2 linked regions of the Danio rerio genome follow. The protein of the gene in region 2 interacts with the protein of the main gene of each other region in a biochemical or structural test. Links are inferred from orthologs where the notes say so. Each region holds a gene or a part of one and is shown on either strand. Other genes may lie near its edges.

The links.
Region 1: the proteins of rpa2 (region 2) and rfwd3 form a complex in vitro, tested with the Homo sapiens proteins (3 studies listed by BioGRID, with this or other methods). The link is inferred for Danio rerio from reciprocal best matches to the Homo sapiens genes RPA2 and RFWD3.

What each region holds. Positions count from the first base shown.
Region 1 is NC_133200.1:39,976,923-39,985,375, forward strand, and holds part of rfwd3 (E3 ubiquitin-protein ligase RFWD3), read right to left. Parts: 5' UTR 7,980-8,453; intron 7,573-7,979; 5' UTR 7,299-7,572; coding exon 7,159-7,298; intron 6,514-7,158; coding exon 6,341-6,513; intron 6,025-6,340; coding exon 5,966-6,024; intron 5,854-5,965; coding exon 5,647-5,853; intron 3,066-5,646; coding exon 2,974-3,065; intron 2,841-2,973; coding exon 2,726-2,840; intron 2,464-2,725; coding exon 2,256-2,463; intron 267-2,255; coding exon 116-266; intron 1-115. UniProt on the Homo sapiens protein: E3 ubiquitin-protein ligase required for the repair of DNA interstrand cross-links (ICL) in response to DNA damage. Plays a key role in RPA-mediated DNA damage signaling and repair.
Region 2 is NC_133191.1:4,969,337-4,978,460, forward strand, and holds the start of rpa2 (replication protein A 32 kDa subunit), read right to left. Parts: upstream 4,797-9,124; 5' UTR 4,663-4,796; coding exon 4,650-4,662; intron 4,427-4,649; coding exon 4,335-4,426; intron 2,737-4,334; coding exon 2,635-2,736; intron 1-2,634. Other genes in the region: ube3d (E3 ubiquitin-protein ligase E3D), read left to right, coding at 5,253-5,329, 8,179-8,381. UniProt on the Homo sapiens protein: As part of the heterotrimeric replication protein A complex (RPA/RP-A), binds and stabilizes single-stranded DNA intermediates that form during DNA replication or upon DNA stress.

The sequences.
Region 1 (8,453 bases), on a different chromosome or scaffold from region 2:
ATTTGTGGGAATTGAAACCACGTGAGTGGATGTAATTGAAAGCAGAATTAGATTTTAGTCTGAATTAACACTTTAATGTGAGCTCAGACACGGCTCCAGCATCCGAGTGTGTGACCTGGTGAGCTTGATGGTGTTGTCGAGCGCCGCAGACAGCAGTAACCCGTCCTGCTGTTGACTGAAGGCCAGGCCGCGGATCTGCTTGGAGTGAATGTGGACGTACTGAGAGGCTTTCAGAGTCGCAGTGCTGATCTTCTTCACACCGAAGCCTGAGGAGACGCAAGCATCAGACACATGAGCCACACATGCAGAACGTGCTGAAAATTACCTGCAAACTCCTGCAGAGAGATCATGTGTGAACAGACCCCTTTAAAAACACCAGTACATAACCAATCAGAGAGCTCTGTATAGGAGTGCAACAATACAGTTATTACGCTTCAGGACGGGGTTTGGGGTCCGTTCTTCGTACCTCGCTAAAATGATCTAAGATTATTTGGCAGATGCTGGATCTTTTAATCTTGATCTCTCGCTAATTTGGTTCTTCAAACAAGTTCGCGAATCAGATTAGAATGTCTGGATAAACTGATCTGAGATCGCTGCATGTGTTGTGAAGGACAGATCTATCGATCCTAGAAATCATGATCAGCAGTGCAACGATTGGCTGACGGCACAGCAGCGTAATGACATCATCTGATTAATATTCAATTATTCATGTGAGCAAAATTACATCAAATTAGCAGCAAACCGTTTATTAAATATGACACGCAATAACCTTCCACATATGTTGTGAGCTGCAGGCTTTATACTGTCATGTGTCAAGAGTATTCATCATGTATTTCAATGCATATCAGTGTATTTAGTTCTACATTTAGACAATATTGTCTATATTATTGTAGCCGTTTTTTAATCGGTGTAAAGAATAACTGGTTGTTTACAAAAGCATTTTCATATTGGTAAAGGCGTCTGCAACTATTGTGAAGCATCAAATCACCGGCATATTAACAATCAAAACATGTTTATGACTGCATAAATGTATTATTGCTTTAAAAAAAATCACATATTCTGCATTTCTATCACACAATTTGTACTAAAGCGATCTAAAAAGTTCATATCAATAAGTTTTCTCTTTGCACCACCAGGTGGCAGTATTTGTACTTTCATTTCGAGGGTGCAGATTGCATACGTTTTATTAATATGTATAACTTTATTTATTTTATTAATGACTATAACTTTATATATAGTTAAAAAATATGTACCATTTCCCAAGTGTCTATAACTACTACTGTAAGAAAATATCAGAATTCAGAACATACTTTCTGTATTATCTTTGCTTGAACTAAGCCGATCTAATCCTGTTTATATGAATTGAACCTGCTCCCGACCAGGTTTGACCTAGCAGAACTGTTGCCATGACAACAACTCTCTGATCAGCTTTGAAGAACGAAACGATCCTGGATCATGTCAAATCGTCAATATCCAAATCCAGCTAACTGAGTAATCCACGTACGAAGAACGGACCCCTGGTCACAGATTTGGTACGGTTCGTAAATAAAAACAAAAACTTTACAATACAAAATGAACACAATATAGCAAAGATAAAACTGAAATACACTGTGCTTTTAGGGTTTGTCATGCACCTAACAGCAGTTTTCAGGCTTTTAAATCTACTGAATACACATTTAAAGCTCTTTAACATTCATTATTAATCGGCTACTGAGTGTCTGATGTTGTTTGCGCTGAATCACAGTTCTGATGTTCATTCTCGAAGCGTCTGCTAGCTATTTGATTATCTAGATCTGAGGTGAACGATCTGCTGCTGCTGTCAGTACGGCGCTGAATGACACGTCACGTGTGTTTAAACTCAGATTGGCAGCATTTAACATTGAATAAAGCACATAATCAGTGCCTGAGGTGATCATGGTGTAAGTCCAGACTCGGTCCTGGAGGGCCGGTGTCCTGCAAAGTTTAGTTCCAACCCCAATCGGACACAGCTGGCCTAGCTAATCAAGCTCTTACTAGGCAGTGAAACATCCTTGCAGGTGTGTTGAAGCAAGTTGGAGCTAAAATCTGCAGGACACCGGCCCTCGGGGACTGAGTTTGGACCCCCCTGGTCTTAGTTTATGCTGCTGTATATAGAACTAGAAACCAAAATAGAGACAAATTCTTATATCATCTTAAATGGTTAGCATAGGAACTATTTTTAAACAGAACAGACAGCTTTAGTCTCTTGTTTCAGCACTGCGTCTTGCGTGTGCTACCTGGCATCAGTGTGGCCTGTGGAGACGGCTGAGACGCCAGCAGACACCCGAGTGGCTCACAGTGAGCCAGAACTCGACTGCCGCCCGTCTGAGACACCAGAACCGCCTTGGAGAAAACATAATGCCCAGAATCCTGCCTCTGAGATGAGGACAGAGACGCCGCCTGAGACGAGCCCGCTGACGCCTGCGCTTTCCACCGACGCAGCTCCTGAAATACACAGACAGACACACACACACACATCTGAGAACTGGAAAAGCTGATGATGATGATGATGATGATGGACTAAACAGAGAGGTGTATATAAGCCAACCTCCCATGATAATACACTCACTTTAATATCTATTCAATTCATACGAGTAGATCTGATCTTCTCTGCTAAACAGCACTTGGGAAATATTTAAGACAGAATTCAAATATCCCAGCAGGGCTGCTGATTTCATCTTCCGCTGTAATGAACGTGTTGACGCACCTCGACTTCTTTGCGCAGCCGCGTGTTTTCATCCACCATGAGCTGCAGCTGCTGCCGACACTGAGCCACCTCCAGCTGCTCCATCCTGCGAGAGCCCTGCTCCAGCTCCAGACGACTGCACACAACCAGCAACATAAACATCATCAGCTCTGCCTCCAGCCAACTATACTGATGCGTTCCATCACAGCTAGTCACAAATAAACCCCCATCATCGTCATCTTGATGGTCTTCAGTGAGCGTGAACGCACCTCTTGAGCCGCACCTCCTCTGTGTTGTCCAGCGCCTTCAGCCTGCGCGCGTACAGGAAGATGATCTGAGTTTTCTTGGCTGGTTTATTACACTGAAAACACACAACAACACCACTAATATAACCCAGGATCCTCTGTCAGTGTCAGGGCATCTACAGAGAGCCACCAGTTCAGTTTCAGCCGTTGTGATACCTTATTTAATACAAGCGTATATGAAATACAGGACCATGCAATGAAAATGCACATGCATACACAGTGTTCAGCATAACTGAGCCGAGCGCTCACAGAACTCGCACTTTCATTCATTTTCTTGTCGGCTTAGTCCCTTTTAGAGGTCTGCATTCCCCCGGGCGCCGCAGGACCCGACCAGATTTCTGCGGCGCAGGAATAAATTTCTGAATAAATCGCGGGAGCGGTCGGTAACGGGTTTAATTTGGGACGGGAGCGGGCTATTAGGATAATGTAGGATATAAGGATATAGTAGGATATAGCTATGCGAATGAGAGAGAGAGAGAGCTTTGCCTGTGTGTGTGCTTGGTGCTGTGTGAGTGTGTTAGTGCACGAGAGAGAGAGAGAGAGAGAGAGAGAGAGAGAGAGAGAGAGCTTTGTCTGTGTGTGTGTGCTTGGTGCTGTGTGTGTGTTAGTTCGCGCAAGTATGAGAGAGAGAGCTTTGTCTGTGTGTGTGTGTTAGTGTGCGCGCGTATGAGAGAGAGAGAGAGTTTTGTCTGTGTGTGTGCTTGGTGCTGTGTGTGTGTGTGTGTGTGTGTGTGTGTGTGTGTGTGTGTGTGTGTGTTAGTGCGTGCGCGTGCGTATGAGAGAGAGTTTTGTCTCTGTGTGTGTGTGTGTGTTAGTGCGCGCAAGTAAGAGAGAGAGAGCTTTGTCTGTGTGTGTTAGTGCGCGCAAGTATGAGAGAGTTTTGTCTGTGTGTCTGTGCTTGGTGCTGTGTGTGTGTTAGTTCGCGCAAGTATGAGAGAGAGAGCTGTCTGTGTGTGTGTGTTAGTGTGCGCGCGTATGAGAGAGAGAGAGTTTTGTCTGTGTGTGTGCTTGGTGCTGTGTGTGTGTTAGTGTGCGCGCGCGTATGAGAGAGAGAGTTTTGTCTGTGTGTGTGTGTTAGTGTGCGCGCGTATGAGAGAGAGAGAGTTTTGTCTGTGTGTGTGCTTGGTGCTGTGTGTGTGTGTGTGTGTGTGTGTGTGTGTGTGTGTGTGTGTTAGTGCGCGCGCGCGTGCGTGCGTATGAGAGAGAGTTTTGTCTCTGTGTGTGTGTGTGTTAGTGCGCGCAAGTAAGAGAGAGAGAGCTTTGTCTGTGTGTGTTAGTGCGCGCAAGTATGAGAGAGTTTTGTCTGTGTGTCTGTGCTTGGTGCTGTGTGTGTGTTAGTGTGCGCGCGCGTATGAGAGAGAGAGTTTTGTCTGTGTGTGTGTGTGCTTGGTGCTGTGTGTGTGTTAGTGCGCGCGTATGAGAGAGAGAGTTTTGTCTGTGTGTGTGTGCTTGGTGCTGTGTGTGTGTGTGTGCTTGGTGCTGTGTGTGTTAGTGCGCGCGTATGAGAGAGAGAGTTTTGTCTGTGTGTGTGTGCTTGGTGCTGTGTGTGTGTGTTAGTGCGCGCGTATGAGAGAGAGAGCTTTGTCTGTGTGTGTGTGTGTGCGCTTGGTGCTGTGTGTGTGTTAGTGTGTGCACGCGCGTATGAGAGAGAGAGTTTTGTCTGTGTGTGTGTGCTTGGTGCTGTGTATGTGTTAGTGTGCGTGCGCGTATGAGAGAGAGAGCTTTGTCTGTGTGTGTGTGTGTGCTTGGTGCTGTGTGTGTGTTAGTGTGTGCGCGCGCGTATGAGAGAGAGAGTTTTGTCTGTGTGTGTGTGTGTCTGTGTGTGTGTGTGTTTATACAGACAGCTTGGCTGTCTGGACTGTATAGTTGGGTGATTTTCGGTTTTGTTCTCCCCCGCTCTTTAGCAGGATCGGGCGCGGCGTGCAGAAACCGGGGCGGGTCGGGCAGCGGGACAACAAATTCTTAATATAAGCGGGATATATTCTTAATATATTTAGTCGGGTTCGGGCTAAAACCTGGCGGATGCGGGCGGGATTCAAAATTTAGTCCCGCGCAGATATCTAGTGCTTTTATTAATCTGGGGTCGCCACAGCGGAATGAACTGCCAACTTATCCAGCAAGTTTTTACGCAGCGGATGCCCTTCTAGCCGCAACCCATCTCTGGGAAACATCCACACACACACTCATACACTACTGACAATTTAGCCTACCCAATTCACCTGTACCGCATGTGTTTGGACTGTGGGGGAAACCGTAGCACCCGGAGGAAACCCACACGAAGGCAGGGAGAACATGCAAACTCCACACAGAAACACCAACTGAGCCGAGGTTCGAACCAGTGACCTTCTTGCTTCTTGCTGCACTACCTACTGCACCACTGCCTCACCAGAACTCGGACTTGATATAAAACTCATTTGTTTACATGGAGCGCTCTCGTTTATACTGAGCACTGTATACATGAATACACATGACCGTCTATCCATCCATCTGTCCGTCTAGCTGTTCAACAATACGGATATTTTCAACTGCCCAGTCAGATCTCTGCCAAGATATTCTAACACTAACAATCTCCCTGATGGTCATTAGAGTCAGCCATGATGGTGTTTCTTCATGATGCAGCAGGAGATGGAGGCTCACCTGTGGGCATTTGTTCCCTCCGCCCGTGAGCCAGCGGGAGATGCAGACGTAACCGAACAGGTGCCCGCAGCGCAGAGCGGCCAGGCGGTGCTCACCTGCTGTGGTCCAGGGTTCAAAACAGATGGAGCAGGACTCGCCTTCAGTGTCTGCTTCATCTGCTGCACCTGCGGGAGACGCTGCGGCCGAGCCGGAGGAGTCTGAGGATGCCTGAGACCAGGAGAAACACAACATACACACTTTACTGCGCAGACAACACACACTCTACACTGTTCACTGTGCAGAGAGCATGCGTTTCAGACAGACTCCACACTCTGCTCACCTCCACCTCTGTTTTCAGCTCTACTGCGGGAGCTTCAGCCGCTGCAGGAACACTGGGACCTGCTCACACACAACACGAACACAAACAGCTCGACAATATTACAAACACTTCTGATTTATTATGCTTTAATACAAAGTCTAGATTAGACTACTAGCTTATACTTAAAACAGAGTCAATTATTCATGAATTCATATTTATACAAGTCAGTTATTTATATATTTCTATGATCGATTATGTTAATGACATCATTTAATCAACTGTTACCTGACAGATTTCAGTCAACCAATAGTTATAGTTCATTTAAAACAGCCATGGAGACACAGCAGAGGAGATGTGCTGCTTAAATGAGGCGTGCTAATAAGAGCATTCTCAGACCTGCAGGGCTGCTGGTCTCCGCTGTGGACTGGACGCGGCTCTGGTCGGCGCTGTCGCTGGAGGCTGGCTCAGGATCAGTGCGTGTGTCCGGCGGGTTGTGCGTGTCCGGCGGGTTGTGTGTGTTCTGGAGGAGCGTCTGAATCCTCCGCACTCGCTCCGCATGAGGACGCTGACTGACAACACACACACACACACACACACACACACACAAAATGACAATCATTCCTCAATGAAAACACAACCAGAGCTATTTGTTCACTTCACACTTAAAATTGATCATGTAAAATGGTACTTAAAGGAGTTTTAAAAAGCCTTAGTGATGTCTCCAGAGTGTGTGTGTGTGTGTGTGTTTGAGCTGAGAATAGCACACAGATCATGTTCTCCAGCTCTCTGAAACTGACCATTTCAGGCTTTGATCCTAATTGTGGCATTTTGGTGACTGTCGCCTTAAATGCAAATGAGATTTAGAAGTGGGCGGAGCTACAAGTGCCTGTGTGACTATTGAGATTCAGAAGTGGGCGGAGCTACAGGCACCTATGGGACTAATGAGATTCAGAAGAGGGCGGAGCTACAGAGGCCTGTGGTACTAGCGGTGTTGTCAGTGCTGTGCATGTGTGTTGATGATCTGTCAGTCTATGTCGCTCCTGTCTCTGTGCATCTAGAACTGCACATCTATAATCCTCTGAGTCTATGCTGACGTTATCTTCAGCAGCTCAAACACTCTAATGGCTAATGGACAGACGGCTGCTTCTCACTCAGGGCTGCTGGATATGCTAATGAGATGGGGAGACGGGCTCTAGTGTTCAGTGCTGTGGTACCTGATGATCTGTCTCCTCCTGGGGGCTCGCCGCAGCGGCAGTCTGGACCGGTCCTCCGGCACGGACGCGGCGACATCGTTTTCTTCTTCTTCAGTGCTGCTGCCAGATTCAGAGACCATGACCACCTCCATATCCTCCATCCTCAGAGAAACCAGCACTGCGGTACAGACACCAACAACAATACTGCAATCATTCAATGCATGACATCACTACTTTACATGTCAATCAAACGCAAACCAGCCAATCAGCTCACCATGGACAAAATCAAGCCCCGCCCACTTTACCACAGGCAATGCTTGTGATGTCCCAAATAAAGTGGGTCTCAGATTGTACAAGAAGCACTGCGTTACATTTTCCCTGTCGTTTTTTTATAATATGAACATTTATTTCACCACAGTATATTCAATGGAGATTCTGCGCTAACCTGCTGATTCTGACGGGTACGTCCGAGTAAACGGTATTTTGTCTCGTTTTACGCTTGAGCAACTGAAGTCTGTTTAACTGATTGTATTTTAATTACATTACAACATCAATGCTGTAAACGAAACCATATCAAATAGAAAATAGTGTCAATAACCATCAGTGAGAGAAGAAACACCAACTCTGCATACACCCTAAAGCCATATATGCAGCTGTATGAAGAGGGAATTATGAGCAGGGCTGGACGTCACTTCCACCAGCAAATGTGCGCTTCATGCTGAATACGAGAGTGAAAGCATGCTGAAATATCACAGAGAGCTGTTTATCCGTCCGGGAAATTGAGCGAAGTTACCATCTGATCATTCCTTCATCTTTTAACCTTATAATATGTTGTATAAAGCCTGTTGTTGTGTTCATATCTGCACTGAAACCTTGACAGAAAGATCAACATAGATCTGCTTCATGATCTGACTGCAGGCCCGGTGTTGTGAAGAGAAATGAACGCCTGTGGTAAATGCACACGCCACCTTCATTCTCAGTCTACATTTAAAAATAATCAAAGGCCAAAACTGATTAAAACGTCGGCTAATATGATTATTATTTTGATGGATCAAGCTATTTTAAAACTAGGTTTACAAATAAATGAAAAGCTCAAATATTGACTGCAGTATAGACTGCTGTAATGAGGCCGTTACTAAAATTAGGCCTTTTGGTGACTTTTAAATGAACTGAAAACAAAATTGGTGCAGTTTTCAACTAAACCACATCTTAAACACATCACTTTAATTAATCTGACCAGTGTTGTCTTTAAAATGAATATATTTATTTATTTAAATATACATCTTCTGTAAGGGAAGGGTTCCTTCATGAAACTC
Region 2 (9,124 bases):
TTTTTTAGGACCACACTAGAAACCAAGAGGTAAGAATCATTTCCCAGAATACCCCAGCAACAGCTGCACCCGGAAGTAAGGAGATCCACAAATTTGTATTTTTTTTTGTCATTATTACGAATTTTTACAACAAACAAACACGTCTTAATATATTCTTAACCGCGTTCATGTTTTACCGTCATGCTTAAAAAAAAAAAAGGGCTAAAATAAAAACTGCTAAATTTTGTGATTTTTTTTGCGATCTATAATTCCTAATAATAACTTCAGTACAGCAGACCCACAACACTCTGACACTCGATGACACTGGAATACCCTGTCAGAAAAGTCTAATGGCTGGGAATGGGCTTTTTACAGTGTCTGCTATAATGTTCATGCTGTTTTTGGTGTGTTTACATTGATGAACATGGCCACTGTGTAAATGCACAGTATTACGATCTCATTGCCACATTAGATCATTATGATAACATAATATATGCCTTCAGTGATTTCCTGAAGATAAATACCAATAAATAACACAACTGGAATCACTCCAGCAGTCGCCATCATCTGATCTCATATGAAGCAAGAGATCGCGAGGACATGATGATGTGTGCAGGTGCTGTCCTAATTCTTAGGGGTAAATTTTAAAGCCCTTCCCCTTAACCCTCACTTGTAAGGACCAGGGGAAAGGGGTACAAAAATAGAATTGGGATTGGGCCTTAATTTCTCTCCCTCAATGTTGCCATTTCACCTGGTGGCAAGACATTTCCTCTCCTCTTGGCAGTTACAGCGCTTCAGACACGAGTGTGTCTGCAGAAGAGTTTTATCCTCTGCATCAGTCATGGATCAGCTGTAAATCGCTGATGCCGTTATCAACGTCACTCAACGGTGAACAGCACCAGAGCATTAGAGCCAATCGCAGCCCTTTCTGTTGAGTGCGTGACCAATCATAGGGGTTTAAGAACTTACTCGACAGGGCTCATAAAGTGAGCAGGATATTTACATTTGTTCATTTGCTATAAATGCTCATGTTGTTCTGTGCATGTACTCGAGTTTTTAAAAGGACAGTTCTGACTTTGTATTGAAGGACAAAACTGTATTACAAATAGTATAGAAATATAAATATATTTATACATTTTTTAGAAAAGAATTCTTGTGCTGTTAAGTAAAATATCAAATTTTGTATGGAAAGCATCGTCAATGAACAGTGATATGGAATTTAACCGAACCGATGGCATGATAATCGTAACCGAACCATGAAACCAGTGTAGGTTCACACATATACCGCTGTACTGGCATGTCAGCGGCGAGCAAGAGGTGGGGCGGCAGAGTAAAATGACAGCATTGAAGTGCACCAGACAAAACACAAAGTGTGTGCAAATACTGCAAAAAGAGGTTTACTTACACTAACAGAACATGAATATGATGCACATAAACCATCAGCACAGAGAAAACTACAGTCACAGACGTCTATACTCAAAAACACTAATAATAAGTCACACCAAGCAGACTGGATGATTTGAAGCTCCACTTGCTCCGCCTCCGAAGAGTGCTACGGAGCTCAGACAGTGCATCAGTGTTTTCGTAACGAAAGTGTGAAGATATTTTTCCGACTGAAAGAGAAAGTTGTTCTGTTATAGAAGCAGGTATTAGACTATGTTTACCATCCTTTTCAAATTAGTTTATGCATATTGAAAAATTAGCATCTAAATTTGCTATCCTGATATACAATTTGTAATTTTCTAATCAGTATTGTCTGTCAGTAGCCAGTCCCCTGGATCAGACGGCCTACTGACCCCCTCTGTACACCCTGCTCTCTGGTTTAGCAAAGGCTTTCCTCTCCACACCAGCCATCTCAGTGAAACAGTTTTTCTCATCAGCAGGACACATTGTAAATATGCAAAGGCCTCAGCTTATGCCAGAAAGCAAAGATTTGCTGATATTTCTTTCTTTTTTAAAAATGCAAAACGCCAGCACAGTCACAGTTTTAGCTTGTTTCTATTAACGAGTCTTCTTTAGTTTCTATTATCTTTGTATTTTATTTTTTAATTTAAAATTAAATTACAATTAATTTAAATTTTAAAAAATTATTATTTTGCAAACGATGTGCTGCATTTAAATAAGGAATGAAAGAGCTCTTTACCTTAAATTTGTTTCGAATAGTTTTGTTTAAAAATCATGAATAAATTGTGTATTGTGAATAAACTCTTGAGTCAGGTGAATCATTACATCCCTACATAGTATTCGTTTTTCCTACAATGGAAGTCAATGGTTACAGATTTCCAACATCTTTCAAAATATCTTCTTCAACAGAAGAACTGAACACAAAGGTTTGGAAACGCTTGAGGGAGAGTAAAGAGTGAGGAAATTTTCATTTTTGGATGAACAATCCCTTTAAACTAGGGTGGCAATTCTTTTATTTGTTTTTTTTATTATTGTATATGTAATGTAATAAAAACATCCAAACCACATACAATGCAGCACTTTAAATACAATGTAATAAGAGATGAATCGTGTTTTGAAGTTATGAATTAGATTTTTTATATGTGAATGAATTCTTTTTTATAAATATATTACTTTTGAGACTGATCTGGCTCCATAAAATGGAAACCCTTTCAATAAAAATGTGGATATTTAGTGATTCTTCAGACTGACCTGTGCGATCTCCACCTCTCCCACTTTAAAGACGTCCTCAGCCTGCACCGCCGACAACAGCTGAGATACAGTACAGGGAACGATCTGCTGCGCTCGTGTCCTCTGAACACACACACACACACACACATCACTGTTACACTTTACAGCATCACACATGAAGATCACAATACTACACTGATTTCCCACTGTTTTCATAATCACTTAAACAACACGATAATGACTCAAATAAGTACTGTTAAAATAACAATACTACTCTCTCTACGGTCATTCTAACAGCTACACAAAAGATGTATTAGGCCAAAATAGTGAAAGTCGTATTATTTTTACACAAACAGAATTGTCCCCAAACATATCAATACTGCATTAAAGTTATAAGTTTGTTTGCCTAAATTTAAACAGCGACTTGAAAATTATTGAAATATACTGAAAAAACCTTCTATAAAAGATATGATTTATATACCTTATTAAATATTATTCAGTATTTACACAAGCAAAAACAGACCTAAACATTGAGATGAAAGACAAAGACAATTTTGGCAATGAAAATTAAATACTTCATAAAAGAATTTCTAAATCTTTTATATTTTATTTATTTTTTAAATAACAGAAAATAGCTTAAATGTTTAGCTTAATAGCTTAAACTCAACGTTTAGGCTTGTATTGTATTAAAAAGTGCATTAAATGATAATAAAAAATAGTTTGAGCAAATCTATTGTCTGTTTTAACTTTTTTTACGATGTGTCGCTTTTATTTTAAGCAAAGAAATATAATAATAAACAAAAATAACAACTAATAAATATTTTATTTCAATTTACTTCAAGTTACATAAGATGGCCACTAAATTTAGTTTAGTCTCAAACTCTAAATTTTATACCTGTCATTTGAAATCTTAATATTTATTAACTGTTCTGCAAAACATTTCACTTTACCCATTTGTTAACAAAAAGTTAAATTATAACCAAATTTAGTTTATTAAATTACTCTTTTAACTATATAATCAGGAAGTACATAACAGGTATTTGCTTTTGTTTAATTACACAAAAACTTGTTGAGCTTAATACCAAACAATTTTTTCACACATTTTTTAACATTTCGTTGTCACAAAAATAGTCTGAAACATTGAAGTGAACATTTAACTTGTATTTTTTACTTTTTTTGTCATTTCAAAATGCAGTTTAGAAAGTGCACGATATAGGGATAAGTTAAAAGTGCTATTATAGAAAACTATGGGTAATATTTACAAATATATGTAGTTTAAACAAAATATACTCAAGTCGTATTAACTGCAATTAAATATTTAAACAGAATTAAATATGGTATTGGAGGAATTTAATATGAACCCCACACAATTGAGGTAAGGTGGGTTTAATATTCGCACATTCTCCTTAAAGATAAAACGTCACAAAGTATTTATGCAAATTTTAAATGCTAAAATCATATTATCAGCTAGTGACTATCAAAGTACAGCATTGTTTACAGTCAAATAAATGGTGTTAATGTTGTTTTGAAGTCATGTTTACAAGTGATTTCAGACCAAATATTTAAAGTACCATGGTAAACAATATGAGGAGCATGTCACAAGTTGTCACTGAACGAATGTGCGAATATAAAACCAACTTTACCTCAATATATATATATATATATATATATATATATATATATATATATATATAGGTGTTTAAAGTTATTTATATACTGACCCCCTTTTTGTCTCCTCCTTGAGAAGCGGCTGGTGACCCGAATCCTCCAGGAGACTGTGTGTACCCAGCCATACTGGCCTCTCCGTATTTACCTGCAAAAATATGAATACCATATTTCAATCAAAACGACTTATTGGTTAAAAACCCCGTCCGACTGGCAGTAACGTAAGAGTGCGTTAAAAACAGACCTTGACAACACACCGCTAACCGACATCACACTGACACTGTATAACAGAGCTTTCTGACTCTCATTAGCGGACTAGCAGAGTAAACTCAGCTCTAAAGCCAAAATAAAGTGATTTCTAAAGCACGTACCTTGGTTCCACATTTCACTCGTGAATGTTTTTCTTCTGAATGCGAAGCAGACCGACAAGACACTCGAAAATCTCCCGCCACGACTGATCGCGCACAGTTTGACGTCACGTCTCGAAGTCCGCGCGCTCACAGTACGCGTGCGCGTGTGTCATCTGCCGCGAAAGTCCCACACGTATACTGTAAAAGTCCACAGAAGCTTGTATGTTGTTAAAATTGTTTTTAAATAAAAATAAAGCATAAAAAAATAAATAAAAACAACAAAAAATCTGTAATCTTTCTTCACTGAAATTTACATTAAAACGTTTACGCTCGTTCTCATATGTTTTGGAATAGTTAAAGCATGTAAGCGGGCTAAGCCCAGTCATATATTGTTTATATATTAAAATAAAATAATTATAATAACTGTCCAAATATGTTTGAAAACAGCGTTTTTTAAAATGTTTTTAAAAGTAACGTTAACACTGAACAGATGCAAACTGAATTCTGAAGACTCTTAATATGAAATGACGGTGTCGCAGACAGTTTGTCGTCACGTTGTTTTGTGTGTCGCGTGGGATTTATGAGTAGAATCGATGAATCCATAGCTTCTGTAAAGAAATACCAATGGAAGAGACTGCGAACACAGATGTCCTCTTTATTGAGCTCAGACAGAAGCTGCAAAGCGGCCTTTTGTTCATTCGGTAAAGTTTTTCTCTTCTACTTTGGCTCTCTCATAGTCACTGACTGTCAATGCAGTGTTTCATCAGTGTATGTGAGTGAATTATGTCATGTACAGTTACACTTAGCACCCAGGGATTCAACGGGATTTCTTTTAACGTACTAGGGTAACGTTACAGCTTATTTTGAGTTTATTTACTGGAATAAAAGGTTATACAATTTCAGGAGGCAGACTTTGGGAACACTAAGTTAGAGAGTACTAAAATATAGTCGTTTAAATGTTTATAGCTAGGTTTTAAAATTATTTATATAGTATACTGAATTATATATATTATACTATTGCATACTGTTTTATTTTTTACACTAGCTCTATAAGATAAAACAGTTAGAAATGCCACAATGAAACACTAGATGGCAGTATTGACCAGATAGTTGGACAGCTTATTTAACGCCATGATATTTTCTTTATGAAAAATAACTTTATGACTAACGTTGCTGTTAACTTTAGACCTCTTAAAATCGAAGAAATTGATTTCTAACACATTTCATCCTAAGTCTCTTCATGCACTGTACAATATGCAGGGTTCCACATAATTCCATAGAGGTAAAGCTGGTTTAAATTGAGATATTCAGACATTCTCCTTAATAATATAATTTCAGAAAAGTATTCTTTGCAAATTCTAAATAGGGAAATCATATTAGCACTTTAGCAGCAAATGATTATGAAAGTACAACATTGTTCACAGTGAATTAGACAGTGTTAATATTGTTTAGAAGTCAAACTTGCATGCTAATTCCGATCGAATATTCAAAGTAACATGGTAAACAATATAGAGACTGCTAAATGAACAAATGTGCGAATATAAACTTTGGGAACCACTGAGTTAGACAATCTAATTATAACTTGAGGAGACAAATGCCTCAGCGTTTAATTTATTTTCTTTACAAAAATATATTTTTTTCTAAGTGACTGACTACAACTTCATTTTTAGTTTTTAAGCCTCACGAAATTTGAAAAAATGGTTCTCTAAAAGATTTTTTTAGTTTCTTACACATTTCATGCAACGTCTTGACTGTAAAAATGGATTTACTCAGCTGTCTAATGTAAAGTATTGTTTTTTTAGAGTGCTCTGATGTGATTTGTGTCTTGTAGCTGTGAAATAACTCATCATTTAGATTGGAGATATGGAACTGTAATTTGCTTAAAATATTTATAGTCATTTTTTAATTTGTTTTATTTAATATTAACCTTACCCAATGAGGCTGGTGGGCACAATGTTTATTCTATGTTTAGTCTATTCTTAGTTTAGGTTTGGAGACCACCAATCACAGATCATCCTCCATGATAAAATATGGTAATTCTAATAGTTTAATAAAAGTTATTTGACTTTTTAAAATCACCAAGCGACCCCCATGTTATTGTCTCGTGACCCCCACTTTGGGAAGCACTGAGTTAGACAATGTAATAATAACTTGTTGAGACAAATGTCGCAGCGTTTACTTTATTTCAGCAACAGACAGCTTATTTAATGCTGTTATATTTACTTTTAGAAAAATGTAGTTTTTCCAAGTAACTGGCTACAACTCCACTTTTAGTTTTTAAGCCTCTTAAAATTCAGAGAAATGGTTATCTAACAGGTTTTTGTAGTTTCTCACACATTTCATCCAAAGTTTTGACTGTAAAAAATGGATTTACTCAGCTGTCTAATGTAAAGTTTTGTTTTTTTAGAGTGCTCTGATGTGATTTGTGTGTTGTAGCTGTGAAATAACTCATCATTTAGATTCGGCGTAGAGATATGGAACTGTAATTTGCTTAAAAACCTGCCGGAACTACTTCAGCTGTGCTTTTATCTGAAAATAACTGCCTGCTCATCAGCCAATCAGAATCAAGAATTCGGCAGCCCCATAATATAATGGTATATTAAGTTAATTCATTAATTTTCTTGTCGGCTTAGTCCCTTTATTAATCCGGGGTCGCCACAGCGGAATAAACCGCCAACTTATCCAGCAAGTTTTTACGCAGCGGATGCCCTTCCAGCCGCAACCCATCTCTGGGAAAGTATATTAAGTTGAATAATCCAATGTTATGTTAAATAAACTCACTTAATTGTTTCTTGAGAGAGTCTACCCTAACTTTTAACTCATTAAGATTTTACTTAATCTAGACTACACTCAAAAACATTGCTGCTTGTTCAAGTTCAATCATTCGTTCATTTATTTTCCTTCGGCTTAGTCACTATTCATCAGGCGTTACCACAGTGGAATGAACCGCCAACTTATCCAGTATATGTTTTACACAGAGGATGCCCTTCCAGCTGCAACCCCAGTACTGGGAAACATTCATACACGCATACAGTATGGCCAATTTAGTTTATTCAATTCACTTATAGCGCATGTGTTTGGACTGTGGGGAAAACTGGAGTACCTGAAGGAAACCCACACCAACACGTGGCGCAGTGGGTAGCACTATCGCCTCACAGCAAGAAGGTCATTGGTTCGAGCCTCGGCTGGGTCAGTTGGCGTTTCTGTGTGGAGTTTGCATGTTCTGTTTGTTTGGGTTTCCTCCGGGTGCTCTGGTTTCCCTCACAAAACATGTGCTGATGGTGAAGAGTACGTGTGTATGTGTGTTTCCCTGTGATGGGTTGCAACTGGAAGGGCATCCACTGCGTAAAACATATGCTGGATAAGTCGGCGGTTCATTCCGCTGTGATGACCCCTGATTACTAAAGAAACTAAGCCAAAAGAAAAATAAACGAATGAATGAATGAATTCCTTCATGTTGTCCCAACACATCGATTGTGTGGAAGCCAGCATTATTTACAGTGTAGTTGTACGTATGATTAGGGCTTCACTTCACGTTTGACCTCCTCAGCAGTGACGTCATCGGTGATGGTGCAGATGTGAAGATCGAATCCAAACCAGACTCCATCCTGAACATCCAGACTCCTGACAGCAGCTTTCAGGTGACCCTCACACCTGGAGTCAGTCTGGTGGAGGCGCAGAAGCAGAAAAGCCCAGCAAACTCTGAACAAGGCTCCCATTACAGACTGCGTCTAAAAGTGGAGCAGCCAACAGGTACACGCTAAGATCTTTCACATCAATACAGGTCCCATGAAATAAAAAGATATGTTTTTAGATGTTAGCATCAGTATTGTTAGTGTTTAGCATATCTATAAGCTAGTGCGCACTAAAACAGTGACAACATTTGCATTTAGAAGATATAAAACTGATAAAAGCATGTAAAGCTGTGTTTCTCAACCATGTTCCTAGAGGACCACCAACACTGCATGTTTTGGGTGTCTCCTTTGTCACACCCATTACAGGTCTTTCAGTCTCTGCTGTTGAGCTGATGATCTGAATCAGGTGTGTTTGGTTAAGGAGACATGGAAAATGTGCAGAGCTGGTGGTCTTCCAGGAACATGGTTGAGAAACACTGATGTAAAGCTTGCAGTTTGTCGCTACCGCCTTAAATGGATCAATTTATTCTCGTCACTTCAAAATTCAGTTTCTAATCAAATCTTCTGACCAATCAAGTGCTCTCTTACATGCCCCGCCCCCTCAAGGCATCTCATTTGCGTTTCATTTGATGCGCTTGAGCTCAACCACTCTCACTGAGCTGTATTCAAACAAGACTCTATTGGCTGTTTTTTTACAAAGGGGAGGAGCTAGACTATGCTCCACCCTGTCTTCATGTTTCAGTTAAGATTACGCCAAACATAAAATAACAATGCAGATTTCAGAGCGCTTCACAGGACGCTTCACAGTCCGCTTTTACTCACTTACCCAGGAAAAGTGACTCTGATTGTCTGATTGCTTCT